Oryzias latipes: one gene and its partner. The protein of the gene in region 1 purifies or fractionates together with the protein of each later gene. This does not show direct contact. Links are inferred from orthologs where the notes say so. Each region holds a gene or a part of one and is shown in the gene's direction. Other genes may lie near its edges.

What was found.
Region 2: the proteins of ciao1 (region 1) and narfl purify together in Homo sapiens (affinity purification with western blotting; 3 studies listed by BioGRID and IntAct, with this or other methods). This does not show direct contact. The link is inferred for Oryzias latipes from reciprocal best matches to the Homo sapiens genes CIAO1 and CIAO3.

Annotation. Positions count from the first base shown.
Region 1 is NC_019867.2:18,359,371-18,369,058, forward strand, and holds ciao1 (probable cytosolic iron-sulfur protein assembly protein CIAO1), read left to right. Parts: upstream 1-3,362; 5' UTR 3,363-3,638; coding exon 3,639-3,777; intron 3,778-3,887; coding exon 3,888-4,036; intron 4,037-4,105; coding exon 4,106-4,217; intron 4,218-4,308; coding exon 4,309-4,397; intron 4,398-4,566; coding exon 4,567-4,762; intron 4,763-4,853; coding exon 4,854-4,923; intron 4,924-5,925; coding exon 5,926-6,160; 3' UTR 6,161-6,470; downstream 6,471-9,688. Other genes in the region: ES1 protein, mitochondrial-like, read right to left, coding at 60-176; tmem127 (transmembrane protein 127), read right to left, coding at 1,785-2,095, 2,175-2,339, 2,431-2,668; snrnp200 (U5 small nuclear ribonucleoprotein 200 kDa helicase), read right to left, coding at 7,728-7,871, 7,950-8,042, 8,120-8,201, 8,309-8,469, 8,560-8,736, 8,820-8,963, 9,069-9,190, 9,281-9,445 and 1 more. UniProt on the Homo sapiens protein: Key component of the cytosolic iron-sulfur protein assembly (CIA) complex, a multiprotein complex that mediates the incorporation of iron-sulfur cluster into extramitochondrial Fe/S proteins.
Region 2 is NC_019866.2:12,254,905-12,264,654, forward strand, and holds narfl (cytosolic Fe-S cluster assembly factor NARFL), read left to right. Parts: upstream 1-3,907; 5' UTR 3,908-3,965; coding exon 3,966-4,031; intron 4,032-4,777; coding exon 4,778-4,873; intron 4,874-5,006; coding exon 5,007-5,150; intron 5,151-5,222; coding exon 5,223-5,349; intron 5,350-5,436; coding exon 5,437-5,571; intron 5,572-6,170; coding exon 6,171-6,289; intron 6,290-6,363; coding exon 6,364-6,493; intron 6,494-6,571; coding exon 6,572-6,644; intron 6,645-6,716; coding exon 6,717-6,854; intron 6,855-6,939; coding exon 6,940-7,097; intron 7,098-7,190; coding exon 7,191-7,432; 3' UTR 7,433-7,620; downstream 7,621-9,750. Other genes in the region: transcription factor E4F1, read right to left, coding at 1,255-1,336, 2,303-2,421, 2,675-2,771; hydroxyacylglutathione hydrolase-like protein, read right to left, coding at 8,808-8,973, 9,065-9,144.

The DNA of each region.
Region 1 (9,688 bases):
ATTCCAGCAATGTGTGCCATGATCTCATTACTGATCTCACAAAGTTCTGCTTAACCTACCACAGCGACATTGGTGTTTCCCCAGTTGCCATAGTCACCCTGGTGAACAAAGCAGGCAGGCTGGCGGAAAAAAACAGCCAGTGTTTGTTTAGAAAGCAAAGCCCTGGTTCCCAACATGGTTCTGCTTTGGTCTCACGGCTTTGAGAGGAGAAATGAAACGTTGGAGTTTCTCACAGAGCTTTCCACGACCTCTGATAGTCCTGATATTGATCCGAGTGAAGCGGCCTGTATATATACCTCCATAGTGCAGCCAAAGTGACGTGGCCACGTAAGACCATTGTCTTATCACACCTGCACTTGTTTCCCCACTGAACTCCCTTACCTACGCCATTACCGCCTTCACCGCTCCCCTAATCAACTTATTTAACCACAGAGGGACGCCTCCTGACAAATCCAATCAATATCTTTGTTTGCCTTTGATCTTCATGGGATTTGCTGGTGGAGAAATTGTGTTCAATGTTTAAAGCAGCTGAGTGACATTCCATATGCCCTTTAAAGTCCATTAGATTGTAAGGCTCTTACTCTCTAGTAATGCCATGTAGCGTCTAGACGGTGAACCCAGAAATATCCTTGGCAGATGGAAAAGACAGATCAAATTTAAAGGCTTCAGTTAGTTAGTGGAAGGCTGACATTTGGTTAAACTCCTGGACGCCTCAGTGGGATGTAAACCAGCAGGACGCAAAATATGACTTTGACTTTATTAGAATCAGTTGATGTAAGCAATCAATATGTACATACTGCTGACAGTATAGCAAAGATTAATAGTGGAAAAATGTTGTAAAACCAACTCGAAACACATTAGCCACAATTCCAAGTCTGAACTAAGTGAGAAGATTTGGGCTGAAACGTAAAAATTGCACACTAAAGAACTCATGCATGGGTACAACATGATGGATCCAACACACAGTCACAAAATACAAATAAGAACAATTCAAAGACAAAAAATAAAAAACAAAATAACCTTACATACTCATCCTGCAAACACTTTTCTTGGGCATCTCCCTTTCTTTACGCCCCCACCTTACAACAAAAACACCCACCCGGGCTGTTTTTTTTTCCTTAAACGCCCAAAATCTCACCCCCCCACCAAAAAGCACAGAATAAAAGACACAGAATATAACCATAGACAAATGTCTACAAAGCAAAAGAACAATCAAAGACAAAAAGAAAAGTATGTGCAATAAATAGGGTCAATTTTCATAAAAATAAAAATTTAAAACAATCTCGTCAGTGTACAGATGAATTTGCATCTATGGTGCATCTAAAAATAAATCATACATATGACAAGCACATCAAATGAAATCTAAATGCTGCTTAGCAAAGCTCCATCTTTCTCCAATTACATCAACAATCTGCTAAGAGCCAGTGTGGCTTTGGCTGCATCATCAAAATCTTAGGGAGTACTGGTTTGCACTCATTGCTTTTTTTTTTAATTTTACATGTAAAGACTAAATTCTGCAAGTCATTTAAATGCAGATATTTAACCAACCCCATGTTGAAATGAAGAATTCCCTTCTAAATGTCTATCACCACCAAATAAAAGCGTTCATGCACCTCAGCACTTTCATTGAATGAATCTGTGCACTAAAGGTACACAAACTGTTTTCGTTGCCAAGAATATTTGCAGAGATATTCATTTGATAAAGAATGTGGTTTGCGGGTCAAGCAAACAGCTGTGCAGAGAGGAAAGACAACCCAAGGCCATGTCGCCGCTTTTTGCTGGCATTATGGTGTGTAGGCAGGAGGTGGCTGAAACTGGTTGGCAATGTCATAGTCAGCAGGGAAAGTCTCGCTGCTGTCCTCCATTTCTGAGAGCAGCTCCAAGGCCTGCTCTTCCTCCTCGGTGGGATAATGGCGCAGGAGGTTTGCAGCAGTGGCTAGAATGGAGGCTCCACCAGCACCTGCCACCAGGTAGAAGCTGATGGCAAAGGTGACGTAAATGAGAGAGCCATGGTACTTTTTGTGTTGCTGCTGCAGTGACAAGATCAGTTCCGATGCCCAGTAGCAAAAGCCTATGACTGTGGCACACTGCAACACTGGAAAGACAAAGAAACCAGTTACATTGTAGCAATGTGTTTGATCTTTATTAGAAATGAAAACAAGCACTGTAGATACCTGTTAGTATATGTGCAAAAGCATATCTGCGAGTTATCTTTAGGGCAGGGTGTTTGGGTCCAAACACATCCAGGAGGAACGCAGTTAGACTGCACAGGATGCCAAGGAAACAGAAGGCAGCTATTACCCTTAGCAGCAGGATGGTCTGCGGATTCACACAGTAATCTGAAAAGACAGACGTGCCACAAATTCATATAAATTAAGGCACTCCATGATCCTCAGCTTAGAGTGGCAACGACTTTGTGCTGGTTCTTACCACCCAAAAGATTGGGATCAACGTATCCCAAGACATCTGCCACCCCGAGTTCTTGTCTCGGGCAGGTGCCTCCGTGAATCCGGAGCCAAGCAGGTTCAGCCAGAGCCGTGCACAGCGCTGTGATGGACAAAGCTCCGGGCAGGGCCGACACTAGACTCCGCTCCGGCTGTTTGGGAAGTGAGGTACCGGCTCTCCTCCTCCGACCTCCGGAGACAGCGGGACCCGGTGGGGCATACATAGCTGACCGAATGGCGAATTTTCTGTTGAAGTGGTAGGTTCCTCTTAGCACTGTCTTCCTCTTGACAGTAGTACCGGGTTATTGTGGTATTAGAGTAAAACTACGGCAATTGTCTTCCAGGATATGTCAAAGATTTCGGTGGCGATAAAAGTGCTCAACAATATAAAAACAACAATAACCGCTTCCCTAAAGTAGTCAAAAAATATTAAGGAAAAGCCAACACAAAGAACAGATCCTAAGCGGGCCTTTAGCTCTGTTGTTAGCCTCTGAAGCTAACTAAAAAAAATAAACACTTTACGTCACCAGTTCTCGGAGGAAAGACACTTTTTAGCGAACGAATGGGAAAAAATATAACCTGTAAACATCAAATCCCGCTGATAAAACCGTCCGTCTCTATGATACAAAAAGGAACACAAAACAAAACAAAAGATAGCTTACGCTGTTTTCCTCAAAATCCCTAACTTCCTGTATATGCCATTCTTCTTCGTGACGTTTAGAATGTTTGCTGTACACTACCGCCCCCAGCGGAAACTAAAATAGAAATGTACACAATGTTTAGCATGAAATTTTCTTTGCAAACAGTAATGTAAATATAGATTCATATTATAAAAATACATATATAGGTAGATCACTTTCTTTAAAAATATATAAATGAAATATTACCATCAAAACGTTTTATTTTAGATCAACCCATAATGCACCGGGTCCAGATCCCGATAAGCAAACATGGCGGCATTTCCTAATTTGACGCTTCTTTGAACTTATCTGTGTGAACAATTTTCCTTGGTTAATTTCCCCCTCCTTTTGTTTTAATGTTCATAAAGGTGTATTAATTTACTCGCAGTCCTCTTGTCTGTCGTTTTCCTCATTTGTGACTCTTTTTAGCCTAAATCTTTGGTTAACGGAAATCGAGAAAAGTGTCGAGTCGACGCCTGACAGACAGAGGAGTCACGTTTGCTGGAGCTCTGCCATGAAGGAGGCTATTTCTCTGGTGCAGAAACTCAGCGCACACCCAGATTCTCGGTGCTGGTTCGTCAGTTGGAGCCCGAGCGGTGCGCTGCTGGCTTCGTGTGGTGGCGATAAGGCCATCCGGATATGGGGACAGGAAGGTCAGACTCAGACAGACAAAGAGCCTTCTATTCGAATTTTGCTACGCCGATTTAAAATCAGTGGTTGGATGACCTTACCTTTTTTACAGTTCATGTTTTCCCTTTTCAAGGTGACTCTTGGGTTTGTAAAAACGTTCTGCAGGACGGACACCAGCGCACTGTGAGGAAAGTAGCCTGGTCTCCCTGTGGGAACTATCTGGCCTCCGCCAGCTTCGATGCGACGACATGCATCTGGAAAAAGAAGAACGACGACTTTGAGGTAAGGTTCGTTTAACCTCTGATCTAACACGTGTTCTGGCTCCACCTGGACTCTTTTCTTGTCTTCTAGAGCTTAACTGTGTTGGAAGGTCATGAAAACGAGGTCAAATGCGTGGCGTGGGCCCCTTCAGGGACTTTGCTGGCCACTTGTAGCCGAGACAAGAGTGTCTGGGTTTGGGAAGGTTTGTGTCCTCACCAGCTCTTGCAGGACAATCCTTTGTCACAGAAAACATATAGAGCTGGGTTGTAAACCTTTGTTTTCCTTCTTCACAGTGGACGAAGAAGATGAGTACGAGTGTGTTACAGTGGTGAACTCGCACACACAAGATGTAAAGCATGTTGTGTGGCATCCCACGCAAGAGGTAGGTCTGCACTCAGTCCTTCACCATCATGTAGTTGTTTTATTATTGTTGCTATTAATTGTTAAAGTGCATCTTTAGCCATATTTATGATCTACGTGCTGTTTTTAATAGAGCCATGGTAACGACGTTTGTGGGATCAATAAAGTTGTATTTTATTCTATTTCCGCAGCTCTTGGCTTCTGCCAGCTACGACAACAACATCTGTATTTACAAGGAGGAGGATGATGACTGGGAGTGCAGGGCCACTCTGCAGGGACACACGTCCACCGTCTGGAGTTTGTGTTTCGACGTGACGGGACAGAGGCTGGCGTCTTGCAGCGATGACCGCACTGTGAAGATTTGGAAGGAGTATCCAAGTGAGAGTGGTGAGAAGATAGAGGGGTAGTTTATGACATAAATAAAAAAAAATAGGATATTTTTTAATCACAGAATGTTTTGTTTGGTCTGCTTTATTAGGTGATTTGTCATGGAAGTGCGTTTGCACTCTGTCGGGTTATCATGGACGAACAGTGTACGACATTGCCTGGTAAGACTAAATACTTACACTACAGCAGGGGTGTCAAACACACGGCCCGCGGGCCTTATCCGGCCCGCCAGGTGGTTTACTCCGGCCCACACATGAAGAGTAAAAATCAAAAGGATGATTAAAAAAGAAAGCAAGTTTCTAGTCCATTCCTGTGGCGAATTATGATTTTTTAAAGAAATAACAGAAATGTGCAATTCCGCCACTAGGGGGAGTAAAGGAAAAGAAAAACAGTTGAAACAGCAAATATCTGCATGTGCCAAAAGCGAAACATAACAGCTCTGCGTCTGGGTAGGATGCACCTTGGTTCCCTATGAGCCTTACCGCTGTTATCTTGCTATAAGGATGATCATTAGCGACACCCTAATGACCAAAATGCTGTCAAACGTGAAGTGGAGGGAAGAGCCTTCCAGGAAAATTGGACAGAGTTTTTTCTTTTTTTCACGAAGCTGAATGTAAAACCCAAATGCTTTGTATGTCATCAACATCGCAGTGCTCAAAGAATATGACATTCAGCACCACTAAGAGACTTATCATAAAGAAAAGTTTCTGGATTGCTTCAGTGTCAGATGTAAAATATTCAGACTGCATTAATTTGAATAGACCAACTTTTCTTTAATTGAAATTAATTTTATTTGAGCTCCATTGGCCCCAAGTGATTAGGCTACTATGTTGATTGAGACATTTTTTCCAACTGAATAAAAAACTAAAACAAAGCTGTTATTTTGCTTTTATGTTACTGGTCCGGCCCACTTGAGATCAGACGGGTTAAATGTGGCCCCCGAACCAAAATGAGTTGGACACCCCTGCACTACAGTCTGGTGTCTGATTTTTTTTTTTTTACTTTAAAAATAGATTCTATTTACAGAGTTTTTAAAAAGTTGCCAAAACAGATTTTCTTCTTTGCTTTTTTGGCTGTACCACCACTAAAACAGCGCTTGTCATCAGTCGGCTGAATCTTTGTCCCCTTTACTATTATGGCTCAAACAACTGTCTGTTGCGTAGGTGTCGACTGACCGGTGCCCTAGCAACTGCCTGTGGCGACGACGCCATACGAGTGTTTAGGGAGGATCTCGCGGCCCATGCAGATGAGCCGGTGTTCTCGCTGGCTGCTCAGGTGAAGAAGGCTCACTGTCAGGATGTGAACTGCGTCGCCTGGAACCCAAAGGAGGCCGGCCTCCTGGCCTCCTGCAGTGATGATGGAGACATTGCAATTTGGAGGTTTCAAGAAGAAGACTGAACCTGCTGTGGAGACACCAGCAATTGGATGAAACCCTGTGCTGAACTTAAATGTTCTTTTCTTTTGCTATATAAAGTCATGCTTATACAGTTATCTTTATAAATCTGAATGATTGTAAAATGTAAAGTTTAAGTTCTATTTTTATTCACAAAAGTGATGATGGGTGTGCTGGTTAACTGTTTTTAGTCCTACAACTTAAAAGGAGCAAGAAACTAGTTCTGTTCTGTTTACATCTAAATACATCTTTATAGCAAAAAGCAGGTTTTCTGTAAAAAAATGATTTAAATAAAGCCTCAAACCCTTGGAGTGATCGGAGACTGTGCATAACTACTGTACACCCAAAAAATGGAAAATATATATATATATATATCCCCACACCTGAAATGTCTGAATAAGCTTGCAAAAATGTATTTTGGAAACGGAAATAAGTAACTGCACTGAATGAACTTGTTTTCAAGTTTGGTAGTTGGGTTTACCTTTGTGCTATCTTAGACGACCCCACCCTTACTTTGACGTGTTCTCCCTACCATGATAAAGGTGGAAAGATTTCATGTAATCCATGGACACCAGTGAAGATCACAAATCATTGAAGAAAAAAAGGTTCAGAGCACTGTCTAGTGGGTCTAGATGACCCAACTCCCAATGGTAAAGTGCCTAGGATAGCACAACACCACTATCAGTAGTCAAAGCTCACCAACTGGCTTGCACTGTTAATTTAACCCTTGTGCTATCCTAACATTGGGAGTGGGGTCATCTAGACCCACTAGAAAGTGCTCTGAACCTTTTTTCTCCAATGATTTGTAATCTTCTCTGGTATCCATAAATTACATGAAATCTTTCCACCTTTATCATGGTAGGGAGAACACGTCAATGTAAGGGGGGGGGGAGTCGTCTACGATAGCACAAGGGTTAAACCCAACTACCAAACTTGAAAACAAGTTCATTCAGTGCAGTTATTTCCATTACCAAAAGACATTTTTGCAAGCTTATTCAGACATTTCAGGTGTGGGGATATATATAGGGATAAAGGGAGGGGATCAAGAACAATCTTGTCAATATCCATTAAGTGCTGTAGTGACATGAGCTTGTAGCATAAAAGGGGCCAGACTAAGAACTAATTGTTTCATAATAAAACTATAAAACAATTTTCAGATGTTTTTATTGCAAAAAACAAACAGACAGCATGAATGATTAAACGGTTTAACCAATCCAAAAAATCTTATGACGTTTAACCAAAGTAAAATGGAAAGTCTAATCTATTTAAACATGCAATGTGGATGAGACTCAGCTGTTCAACGGCAGTTTAAGATGTCTTAGACTTATCTTTGAATAATTTTGTGAAAAGTACATCAATGGTCAACGTAAAGAACACAAAACTTCTGAAAAGCTGTTTAACATACAGGATAAAACGATTGTACTGACTACGAAAACATGTTATAACACCCACAGAGAACTGACAGGGTCACTCTCAGAGATTGATCGGGGTAAATATCTACATATAAAACCTGATCCCATTATTTATTGAAAAAAAAAAAAGGATTAAAAATGTAGAATTTGAATTTCCAGCTTAATCTGAATCGCTGTCGCTGTCTGCCTCCTTCACGTCCACACTGAACTTGTACTCCTGATCACAGCCCATGTAAGCGTCGCTCATGAAGTACAGCGTGTAGTTGTGAATGCCCATCGCTGGTGCCACAAAGTCCAGCTTGACCTACACAGAAGAACCAAAAATGAAAACTGTGGTAGTTTGCGTATTTTTGGTTAGGGAGTGTTCAAAGCAGCGGCTCACCTTCGCTTTTTGTTGCAGAGTCAGCCTCTTGATTGAGATCAGGCTGTTCGACTTCGGGTCTCCGATCACAACCCACCAGCCCTCCTCACGTTTCTGCAACGATGAGACGATCAAACGATGAAGCAAATGTAGGAAACACCTATAGGGAAGTGGACAGCCACTCAACTGACCTGAGGGAAAAGGGGAGCGACGACAGGGCCAGTCACCTCCTCCTCACGCTCCAGCTGAACCTGAACCAGAACTGGACTGCCACTGAAGAAAACACAGACCAAATTTTATCCAGAGGGCAGTGCTGATGTAAATCTGATCCAAAAATGCATCATTGTTTTGAATAGTTCTTGATTGGACTGCACACTAACCTCTTTATGTTATCCCTTTCTACCACTTCATACGCGAGCTCGATGTTGGGGTAACGGTTACAGAAGCGAGCCACGTCTGCCATCTGAGCGTCTGTGAGCTGCAGCAAGCCGCTTCGGTCTTCATCCTCCATTTCCATTATGTCAAATATACTCTCCACACCCTGGAGACAAAACACACAGGTTTAACTTTTCAGTTTAAATGTGCGAGCTTTGACAGAAGACAAAAGCAGCAGTCAGACGATGCGAAACACCTTGTCAGTACAACGCTTGATGTGCTCTGAGGTGAAGTAGGGCAGCTGTTTCAGGTAGGAGTCCTTGGACCACATAGCCTGGGTGACCATCTGGGCCAGCTCCATGGCAGCCAGCGCAGGACTGAGCCAGCCGTTACTAGACAGCACGTCCACGCAGGCCTGGATGAGGCGGATCGCCTGCATGCAGCAAACACACAGTGGGATCAGCTTTACACACACATTCACAGAAGAGGGAGGAGAGAAGCATTTCAAACGTGAACCTTGCTCAGGATCTCTTCAGTGTCTGACTGCAGCTCTGCGCTCAGCTGCATCCTGGAGAGATGAGCTTGCAGCAGCAAATTCGTCTTCACGTGGGGATCGTTGAACTTCGGGTTGTTGAGCTTGTGGGGAACTTTCTGTGCCAGCTTTAATGTAAAATTAGATCCACAATTTAATGTCAAATAAACGGTTAGACTTTGTGCTGCAACAAAAATGAAAGATGATGGATTCCCACTGTGGAGTCTGCTTACCTGTCGAAGAAGTGTGTCCTCGTGGTGCCTGATGGGAATGTTTTTATACTCAGCAGCATTGGAGATGATTTCAATTAACCCGCGGATCTTCGTCTTTGCGTTCAGAGACATGCTAAACAACTCTGCCAGACATAAGAGCAAAGTTACAGCGTGATGCTCAGCGTTCAGGACACGGCTTTAACCAACACAGAGAAGCAACGGTTGCTACAAACCGATGGTGGTGTAGTTGATGTAGTAGTAGGCAGCAATCATGCCCAAATTGAGTGGTGCCACATCCATTTCATCCTCAATGCTGATGCATTTGGACTGCTCAAGGTCGTGCAGCGTGTTTTCCACCAGCTCTGACAGGTGGTCAGACAGGTGACGATGGGACATGCCTGACATCGAGAGAAAACACACGACTCTTAAAACTAACAATCTTGTGACGGCCTCAGTATAATCTGATGTTCCTCTCGGAGGGATGCTGCCCACCCTGCAGGTTGTAGTAGTTGGGGTTCTGCGTCATCCGCCTGTAGAGGAACGTCCAGGTTAGGTAATCCACGGCATCCTGCTTGTTCTCGATCGTCTTGGTAACGATCTCTGCGTTGAAGTGGTCGTGGAGACAGTGATCCAAGTGAGAC
Region 2 (9,750 bases), on another chromosome or scaffold:
TACCATCCAATAAGAACACTTCGTTCGCAAAATGCAGGACTGCTTGTGGTTCCTAGAATTAGTAAAAGTACGGTTGGAGGTAGAGCGTTTAGCCACCAAGCCCCTGTCTTATGGAATAAACTCCCAGCTCATGTAAGAGAGGCCGACTCAGTTTCTACATTCAAAGTTAGACTTAAAACATTCCTCTTTGGACAGGCTTATTGTCAGACTAGTTAGTATTTATAGATTATTTAACTTAATGTTAATTTGTTTAAATTAAACTTAATAACTATTTCTTTTAAAAGGCTGCTAGAAGTTGAAGCTGGGGTAACTATGGTGCACTGGGGTTCTGTCCTCTTTTCTTTTCTACTTCTACCCTTCCTCTCCTCTATTCTTGATCATAATTTATCATTTAGTTCTCCATGCCTCTGTTTAGTGCAGTGCGATTCATGTATTGTCCCTCTTTTCTTCTCCCCTCCTGGGGAGTGGGAGTGCTTCCAGACTCCAGTTGGTTCATCCGTGCTCCAGTTCCTGACCGTTTACCTCGCCTCTGCTCCTGCTCCTACACCTGGCTGTGGTTCCTGTCTCCGGCTCGACTCGCGCCTTTGACTGTCCCCCCAACCACGGCTGGATGAAGCTCGTCTGCTGGACTTTTATATGTGTAGTTGTAGATTTAGATAAGTAAATTCTTCTCTTTGAGTTCTGGTAAATCGCCTGTCCGTCCTGGGGGAGGATCCCTCCTTCATGTGGGCAGCCCTGAGGTTTCTTTGTTTTTCCGGAATCCGGTTTTTTTGGGAGTTTTTCCTTACCGCGAAGGGGGGTCTAAGGGCAGGGATGCCAGTATAGCTTAGTCAGTTTGTTAGTTCATTTTACTATTGAACTCTTTGTATTCATGATCCTTTTGAGTTCATGTTTTACTTCGAAGCCCATCGAGACGACTGTTGTTGTGATTTTGGGCTACACAAATAAAATTGAATTGAATTGAATCCTATGTAGTTTAGTGTCATTTAGAGTGTAATTTAAGTTAAGGTGACTCTTATTTAAATTAAACTGTTGCAATGAAATGGAAATGATGTATTTATTAGTTATTGTTGTTGCTATTTATTTCATGTATCGCAAGTTAAATTGTCATCGCATCATTAATAGTGCAAATCGCATTTTTTCCTCATATCGTGCAGCCCTAATTTTAAGTATTTTTTGAAGGGATTTTAATATGTTACACATGATTAAAGTGAATAAAATGAGTAAGAATCCAAACTAGTTTTGCTGACTTACCATCGGGTTTTAATGCTTTATCTGAAGATAAACCATCGGCGGATTTCACCTCTGAGGCACAACTTCCATTGGATGTAATGACCTGGGAGAGAAAAATGTTTTCCAACTCTGTAAAAATACTAATTAGAATGGAAAATAAGGGTGTAACGATTCATTTAAACAAAGATTCATATCATTATATGTGGTTGCTGATACGATTCATAGTCAATATTGGCTAATTTTTAACAATCCCATTCACTGACCTAAGACTGATCCAGGACGTCTTTAGCCAAAAATAGAACCAATGACACAAAAATAAATACCTGGGCACTGAACAGTGCAGAAGTTTTCCAGATTCTTCGTATTTCTTCTAAGATAATTAAAGGTAAATTACATATGTGTACAAAAAAACAATTAAACAAGTATTACTGGCAAATCCATTCACATTTTAGTTTTATAAAGTTCTTTCCATTGTTGTTTTTCTGCATTGAAATGATACAGAGGGATTAGAACACACTGTATGGGTGTATGTCTTCGCAAATTTAAGTATTTCCACACATTAGACTGAATGATGGCTTAATCATTTTTTTGCTGCCATTACGACCAAATGGTATTTTCCAATGTCGATTATGATCTGTTTATTTCATTTAGAAATTATTCTATAATTTCTAAATGAAATAAACAGATCATATATACATATATACATATAGGTATAGGTCGATTTGATCAACAAATGGCCTCAGATACTAGATTGATCTGGTTGGATCGTAGAATTAGAAATCAATTAATGAATTAAATGTTACACCCCCAATGAAAAACATAATACTGACTGACTATCAGAAATTTAATTGTTCAATTTGGATTTATCAGTTTACAATTCTATAAACAATTCAGATAAATGGCTTACAGATTTTTTTCTTATTTGTCCTTCCAAAAGAAAGGGATGGAATGTAAACATAAGAATATCGATTCAGGAATTTCTCAATCATTTCAACATTTTCTGAGTGAAGATTATAGACTCAAGTTGATTCATCAATACTTTAAACATAGTTCCAGATTTAGCACATACCTCTTGATTAGCAGTGTGGTCAGTCTCCACCCGTTTACAGTCGTTATGTAACTTGTGCTGGATAAATGCTTCAAGCGTGGAAAATTCGGATTGACAGCGTCCACACTTGTGTACATCGTCTAAAAACACAAAGACGAAGCATATTTAGCTACCATTAGCTTAAAAAACTATCTAGCACCAAAAAGCTATCACCTGCTTATCTGGGCATCTTTTAAAAAGGCCGCTGACAACTCAAACCTGCAGCAAAGCCGTAAACTAGATGTTGCTAAAGACGAATTAGCAACAATTTCGCGATGGAGGAAGTTAGCAAGGCCCAAACTACGGACAAAAAACCCTGATTTTGGGAGTGTTTTGAACTGGCTGAAAACTAACCTTCATCTCCAAGGGTGGTTTGAATGGTGATAGTCTCACTGCCGTTCGTCGTTCGCTCCTTCTCTGTTTCTGCCGTATGATTATTTTCTGCATTCATGTCGTTTGACTTCTCCGTCTCTGTCGCAACGCTGTGCTGGGGAGGGAAAACATGGCGGATTTACGACCCTGTAGTCATAACAACAAAAGAGCGCATGCACTCGCATGCAGAAGATAAAATAATAAACGAAACATTTAACCACAAAAATAAAAAGGCATTCAAAAAACGATACATTTGTTATTATTATTATTATTTATTTTTTATTATTTTTTTGTTGAAAGAAAACGTGATAAAATCGTTAAAGCTGTCGTCATTTATATTTGGATTTTTACTTATATTTCATTTGTATTTTTGAAAAAATATTACTCTATAAATGTTCCAATAGCGATAGTAAAAATATTGGCATTTATATTGACAATGCACATTTTACTACATAGAGATGCAGTATGTCAAACACACAACCATCATCACGAATAAAATGTCACCTCTTAGTGTAAACCACAAAGATTTTCTATTTAAAAAACATTCCATTTTTAAAATTACTCTTGAATTATTTAAGACTCTTCAAATTACTGTATGATATATTTTAGGATGAGCATCTGACATCTTTTTGTCAAGATTCTCTCAAGGCACTTCACAAAAAGCAAACTGAATGAAGCAATGTTGTTTTATTCAGACTTTCCCCTAAAGTTGTACTAGATTGTTCAGTATAGGTTGTTACAATCTGACCAAAATTCCTTTGTTGTATTTATATTTTGTCCCTAATTAAGTGACCAACATATTCTAATACAGGTTCTTTTGTGTGTTCCACTTGACATATAACTAATAAAATGCAAACTTTAAAAAAAAAAATATTACATCTACAGAAGAAACTGTGCAAATACAAACAATTAGCACAATCAAGTTAAAAGTTGTTCTAACTAATAGAAAAAATCTTTTGACAAATTACAAAGATATAATCCATTTGCAAATCTGCAAATTAAATTACACAAAAAAGCCTTTGTGATTTGTGAATACGATTTGAATAGATACAACATAAAACAACCCAAGTATTTACCAGATACTGTGGTAAAAAAAATGTATTTACTTATTTTATCTTAGTTGACAAATGTTGCACATACAGAACATGCATGGCAAACCCATTGACTGTATGAGAGAATGGGGCAAACTATTACTATTAGTGGAGCCTGAACGTGCTCTTCCAGACCAGCATTTCACGACACAAGAGTAAACAACGGGTTTGCGGCAGTAACTATGGCCTCTGTCTTCAGCGGTGTACTGCAACTGACAGATCTGGACGATTTTATCACCCCTTCCCAGGTCAGTGTCAAAAATAATACTTAAGTTTATTCTAGAAGGACATTACAAGCAGAGGAGTTTCGCTTATTTCCCAATCAAAATGCTAAAAGCTCAGTTCGCTCTTAGGGAGCTAAGCTAGCATGCTCTGGTGGTGGTAGTTGCTCTTGTAAGTGCTGTTCCTGGAAGAAGAAACCAAAACAAACAGATTCTAGTTAGCCTTTACGTTAGTAAACATGTAGTGTTCGTTTCTAGTTTTTACATATATTACTTTCGTCTAAAATTACAATTCATTGGCAGCAAAAATAACGAATCGGTTAGCTTTTGTTTTGCTAATGGTAACACAGATGTCAAAACATGGAAAGAAGTTGCAGTATTGATCGGACTTTCAAACAGACAAAAGTCAAAACACATGGATAAAACATGTCTTTACTTCATGTATTCGTCATTCATCCTGTTGCCACTGACTTTTGTTTTGAGCTCCTGTAACCCCAGATGCTTGAATGATGCCCCTGTATCCCCTCCAAACTTATGACTTCTCAAGACGAAAATAACACTTAAAGGCCTTGTTTTCTCCACCTACATTTGGTCAATGATAAACTATTACTAATTCAATGTGATCAAATCTAAGCTCTCTGATCATTCTGACTTTTGTGGTGTAAATTTGCTTACAGTTCTCCCATCCCATTTTTGCATGTTGACAGAAACTACGTATCAGGTTCAACGGTTGTTTACCTTTTTGTTTTTTTCATATCTGTGTTTTTCGTTAGGAATGTGTCAAACCAATAAAAGTCGAGAAGAAACAAGGCAAATCTGTGGCCAGAATACAGATAGAGGATGATGGTAGTTATGTCCAAGTCAACCAGGTGAGGATTCACACTTATTTTTGCCTTTTAGTCTGAGGTATTTGAATCATGAATGGACTTCATAGAGCAGACTGTCAGAGTACCAAATGCAATAATTTAGTATCATGCTCATGGAAGTGTCTTGTGTTGAAAGGATGGCGGGAAGGAGAAGCTGGAAAAAGCAAAGATCTCACTGAACGACTGCTTGGCGTGCAGCGGTTGCATCACCTCAGCTGAGAGTGTCCTCATCACTCAGCAGAGCCCCGAGGAGCTTTTAAAAGTGCTTCGGAACAACAAGGTAGAGTGTTTTGCTCAGTTTGTCTACTTATGGTTGGGTTTGTGTTCCGCTTAAGTCTTCGTTCCCCCACAGGGTGCAGCAGAGCAGAAGACTGTGGTGGTGTCCGTGTCCCCGCAGTCCAGAGCGTCCCTCGCTGCACACTTTGGTATCAGCAGCAGTGAGGCAGGAAGGAGGCTCACCTCTTTCCTCAAAAACCTGGGTAACGTTTCCCTCTTTTAATGTTTCATAAATCAAGTTGAAGCAGTGGCTGTGTACGTGTCTGAAAGATGGTCGCTTTTTTTTACAGGGGTTCACTATGTGTTTGACACCAGCTTTAGTCGGACCTTCAGTCTGCTGGAAAGTCAGAGAGAGTTTGTGGAACGTTTCCAGAGGAAGGGACAGGACAACAAGGCTCTGCCCATGTTAACCTCCGCCTGTCCAGGTACGGACATAGAGCTCCATGATAGAAAATAGAAGCCAAAACTTCACAACTTCTTTGAAAGCTTTTAGCTTGATTTGAATGTGGAACGGAAACCACATTTGTGTATTTATTTTGTTTTTGAAGGCCTTCTATTTCGTATTTTATATATTTATCAAAGCCTAATAGTGAATGTTCATGACATTATCTTTAGCTCCAAAAGCTTAGACAGAGTTTTCAATCGGAATCTCAGTATCACCACTTTGTTTCAGGTCCTTGACGTTTTTTAAGGGTATCAGTTTACGCTCTTCTTTTCTCTGAAAACGTCTCTGAAAGGTTGAGGTCAGGACTTTTGCTGAGCTGTTGTAGCAGCTCAACCCCCCCCACCCCCCACCCCACCATGCTGTTAATGATTTGCTAGGGTGTTTGGGATTGACTCACATTTGACTTTGCGATGTTTGACCGTCCAGTTCATGACTGAAGCTGTGACAGCAGCTCTCATTAAAACTAAAAAAAGACAATTAGCACAACTTTTCTATAGGCTTTGGTTAGGAATGAAATAGTTGGTGCATCAAACGCTTTGAACTCCATTCAGACCAAAGTGTGCGTTTATGTGTGTTCAGGTTGGATCTGCTATGCAGAGAAGACACACGGGGAGTATATTCTCCCATATATCAGCACCACCCGCTCCCCCCAGCAGATGATGGGGTCTCTGGTTAAAAGCCACTTTGCAGAAAAGCAGGTGGGGTTTGGATTTCTCCGTTCTGTAAATATTTCAATAAAGACTAACTGAGCTGGATCTGTTTGTGCTGTTAGGGGCTGAGTCCTCAGCAGATTTACCATGTGGCTGTGATGCCCTGCTTCGACAAGAAACTCGAAGCGTCACGCTCAGATTTTTTTATGAACAAAGCGGAGACCAGAGAAGTGGATTGTGTCATAACGTCTGGTACAGTAATTACCCTTATAAGTAATACTTAGGTGCATATGCAGCATCCACATGGTTATTTGTCTGTCCTCTCTTCAGGAGAGGTTCAGAAAATGCTGGAGGAACATCATATTTCTCTGAATGATGTTGAGCCTGGAACTCTTGATTCGATGTAAGTTCCCTCTTTTTTTAAGAAAACTTTATCTCTCAAAACTCTTCTGATGCTGCCTATTTTTACCCTCAGGTTCAGCAGCGTCTGTGGGGATGAGCTCCTGAGCCACGCTGGCAGTGGATCCGGAGGTTACCTCCATCACGTCTTCACCTATGCTGCTAAGCAGCTCTTTGGAGAAGAAGTAAAGGAGCTCACCTACAAAACTCTAAGGTTTGCTCACCTATATAAATTGTGTCTTTTTACAAAAAAAACAAAAAGTTGCTTTTCTCATCTTCACTCTTGTTCGATGGCCCAGGAACAAAGACTTCCAGGAGGTGAGACTGGAGAAAGATGGGGAAGTTCTGCTGTGCTTTGCTGCAACATACGGATTTCGCAACATTCAGAACCTTGTGCAGAAACTGAAAAGGGGAAAATCCCTGTACCATTTTGTAGAAGTTATGGCCTGTCCATCAGGTATGATTTTTTTATAGTTGGAATAGATTAAAAAAAAAAAATTCTAACTTTGATGCAGATACGATACTTTTATCCTTCTTTTTATTCTCCCAGGCTGCCTTAACGGAGGCGGACAGATAAAGGCAGCCGCTGGTCAGAACCAGAAAGAGCTGCTTCAAAAAGTTGAGGAGCTGTACAAGGAAGAGCGCCCCCTACTGCCAGAGGATGACACTCGCGTGGCAGAGATTTACCAAACATGGCTCCATGGCGTGGGAGAAGACAGAGCCAGAGAGCTGCTGCGCACACAATACCACGCTGTAGAGAAGATGACCAACGGACTCACCATTAAGTGGTGATGAGTCAGCAGTATACCGCTGAGAGTCCCAGCTGATGATCCCTGTGCCTCAAGATGACCCAAATGTCTTTTTTTGGTTGTTCAAAGTATAAAAACAATGCTTTAAAAAAGATAATTATTACTCTTTTATTTAATAGTTATATGTACATATGCTTTTGCAGAAATAAAATGACCACAAAAGCTAGTTATTAACTGATGTGCTTTTTTTAATAGAAATTTTTAATGAACAGTTAGTTTTGTATTAGAAAGCAGCAGAAGTTGCAATGACAACAAACAGTTTTCTTCTTTACCCTGTTGGTAAAAGTTCAAATAAAGTAGAAACTCTGTACATAAAACAACAACAAGAAAAACATATTACACTTAAATTCTAACAACATTCTTGAAGAAATTGAATTTTTAATGATCTAGTTCAACCAACTTAGCCCTTGTGCTATCTTAGATGACCCCACCCTTACATTGACGTGTTCTTCCTACCATGATAAAGGTGGAAAGATTTCATGTAATCCATGGACACCAGTGAAGATCCCAAATCATTGAAAGGAAAAAGGTTCAGAGCACTGTCTAGTGGGTCTAGATGACCCAACTCCCAATATTAAAGTGCCTAGGATAACAAGGGTTAAAAAGAAAATGGAAACAAAACAGATTGGCTGTAAAATATTTACCCTATCAAGAAGAAAAGAAATACTTCAATAATAAACATTTGATCTGAAACCAATTTTAATGTTACTTTTTTCATTTTAACATTACCTGCTGCAAACCATTTATACATAACAGGTCATTTTTAAATTAGATATTTCAGTATAAGTGCCTTATCTCCTTTTAAATGTGCATTGCTTAAGACTTAAAGTAAAAAAAAAATTACGTCATTTGGCATCAGAAAACTGATGTGCAGAGATTTTTGCTTTAAAACGTTAACAGTTTTATGGAGTTGGTGCAGACAGCTGGGCGGCACAAAAAGAGTTTTTTGGCTCTCAAAGGAAAACAGCCTTGAATGGGCCTTTAAAACCCTTGTGCTATCTTAGGTGACCCCACCCTTACATTGACGTGTTCTCCCTACCATGACAAAGGTGGATTAAGGTGGAAAGATTTCATGTTATCCATGGACACCAGTGAAGATCACAAATCATTGAAGAAAAAAGGTTCAGAGCACTGTCTAGTGGGTCTAGATGACCCAACTCCCAATGTTAAAGTGCCTAGGATAGCACAAGGGTTAACCAAAGCAGCCACATCATAGTTCATCTATACAACCAGGATTGGTAGCTGGTGAACCTCATACCATAAGTTCTTGGGTTGGGCATCATTCTCTACGATACACTTCAGTGTCTTCCTGCATTAAGTAGGTCCTCTTGATGGTGGATTGTACCCGAAAGTTAAAGCTAAGAAACTGGATCACGAGGCCGAAGCAGTCCCCACTGCAGAGCGAACAGGGCATGAGGCGGAAGTCTGTCCTTGGGTTTTTTAAACTTGTCCCTCTCCTTCCGAAGGGCCCTCAAAACCTCCACAGGCTCTGTCTTTCCAGTGAATTTTTGCACCGCCTCTACCCTTTTGAGAAAAGAATGAACAAAAAAAGCTGAATGTAGAGTTTCCTTACGGTCATTGGCTGTACGTGGAGTTTACGAGGATCCAAACTCACGAGAGCCGAAGAAAGGGGTTGTACTCGAACTCCTCCACCAGGGTGGAAGGCACTGTGGGTTTGTCGTCATCATCTCGTGCCTGGAGGACAAAAAACTGTTAGAACGGTCAAATACTTATATGCACAAAAAAAACTTATTTTATTTGTGGGGTAGAAGACTTGAATTTGTGTTAAATGTTGGAACATGCTATTATTTTCATGTGTTTCAGAGATAAAGCCAAAAATTTAAGAGTCAAGTCTGGTCTAATTTAAAAACAAAACACATTACTGACACTACACAGTGCTTAAAATAACCAAAAGAAAGAATATAAACCATAAATAAATAAGCATGAATTAAAATCAGTTTTTAATTATAGACTTTTTTTTACTGATTATTCTAATAGTTATTTTACGTCAAAAAAAATGTTTGCACTACAAAGACTGAAAAAGTTTAAAAATTTGTTTTCCTACATACACTTTTTGTATGAATAAATTATGGTATATATAAACCCCACCTCAAAGGTACCAAAACCTCGTCAGCTTTTTTCACTTTTTACCAAAACACATATTCTTTTTAGTTTTCCAATGAAATCCGGTTTCAAAAATCTTCAAAAATAAAAGCCTATTTTTGCACTCCCCCCCTCTTTTTTTATCCTTAGTAAAAAAACTGCCTAGCAGTTCTATTTTTGTGAAATGGACAGATGTAT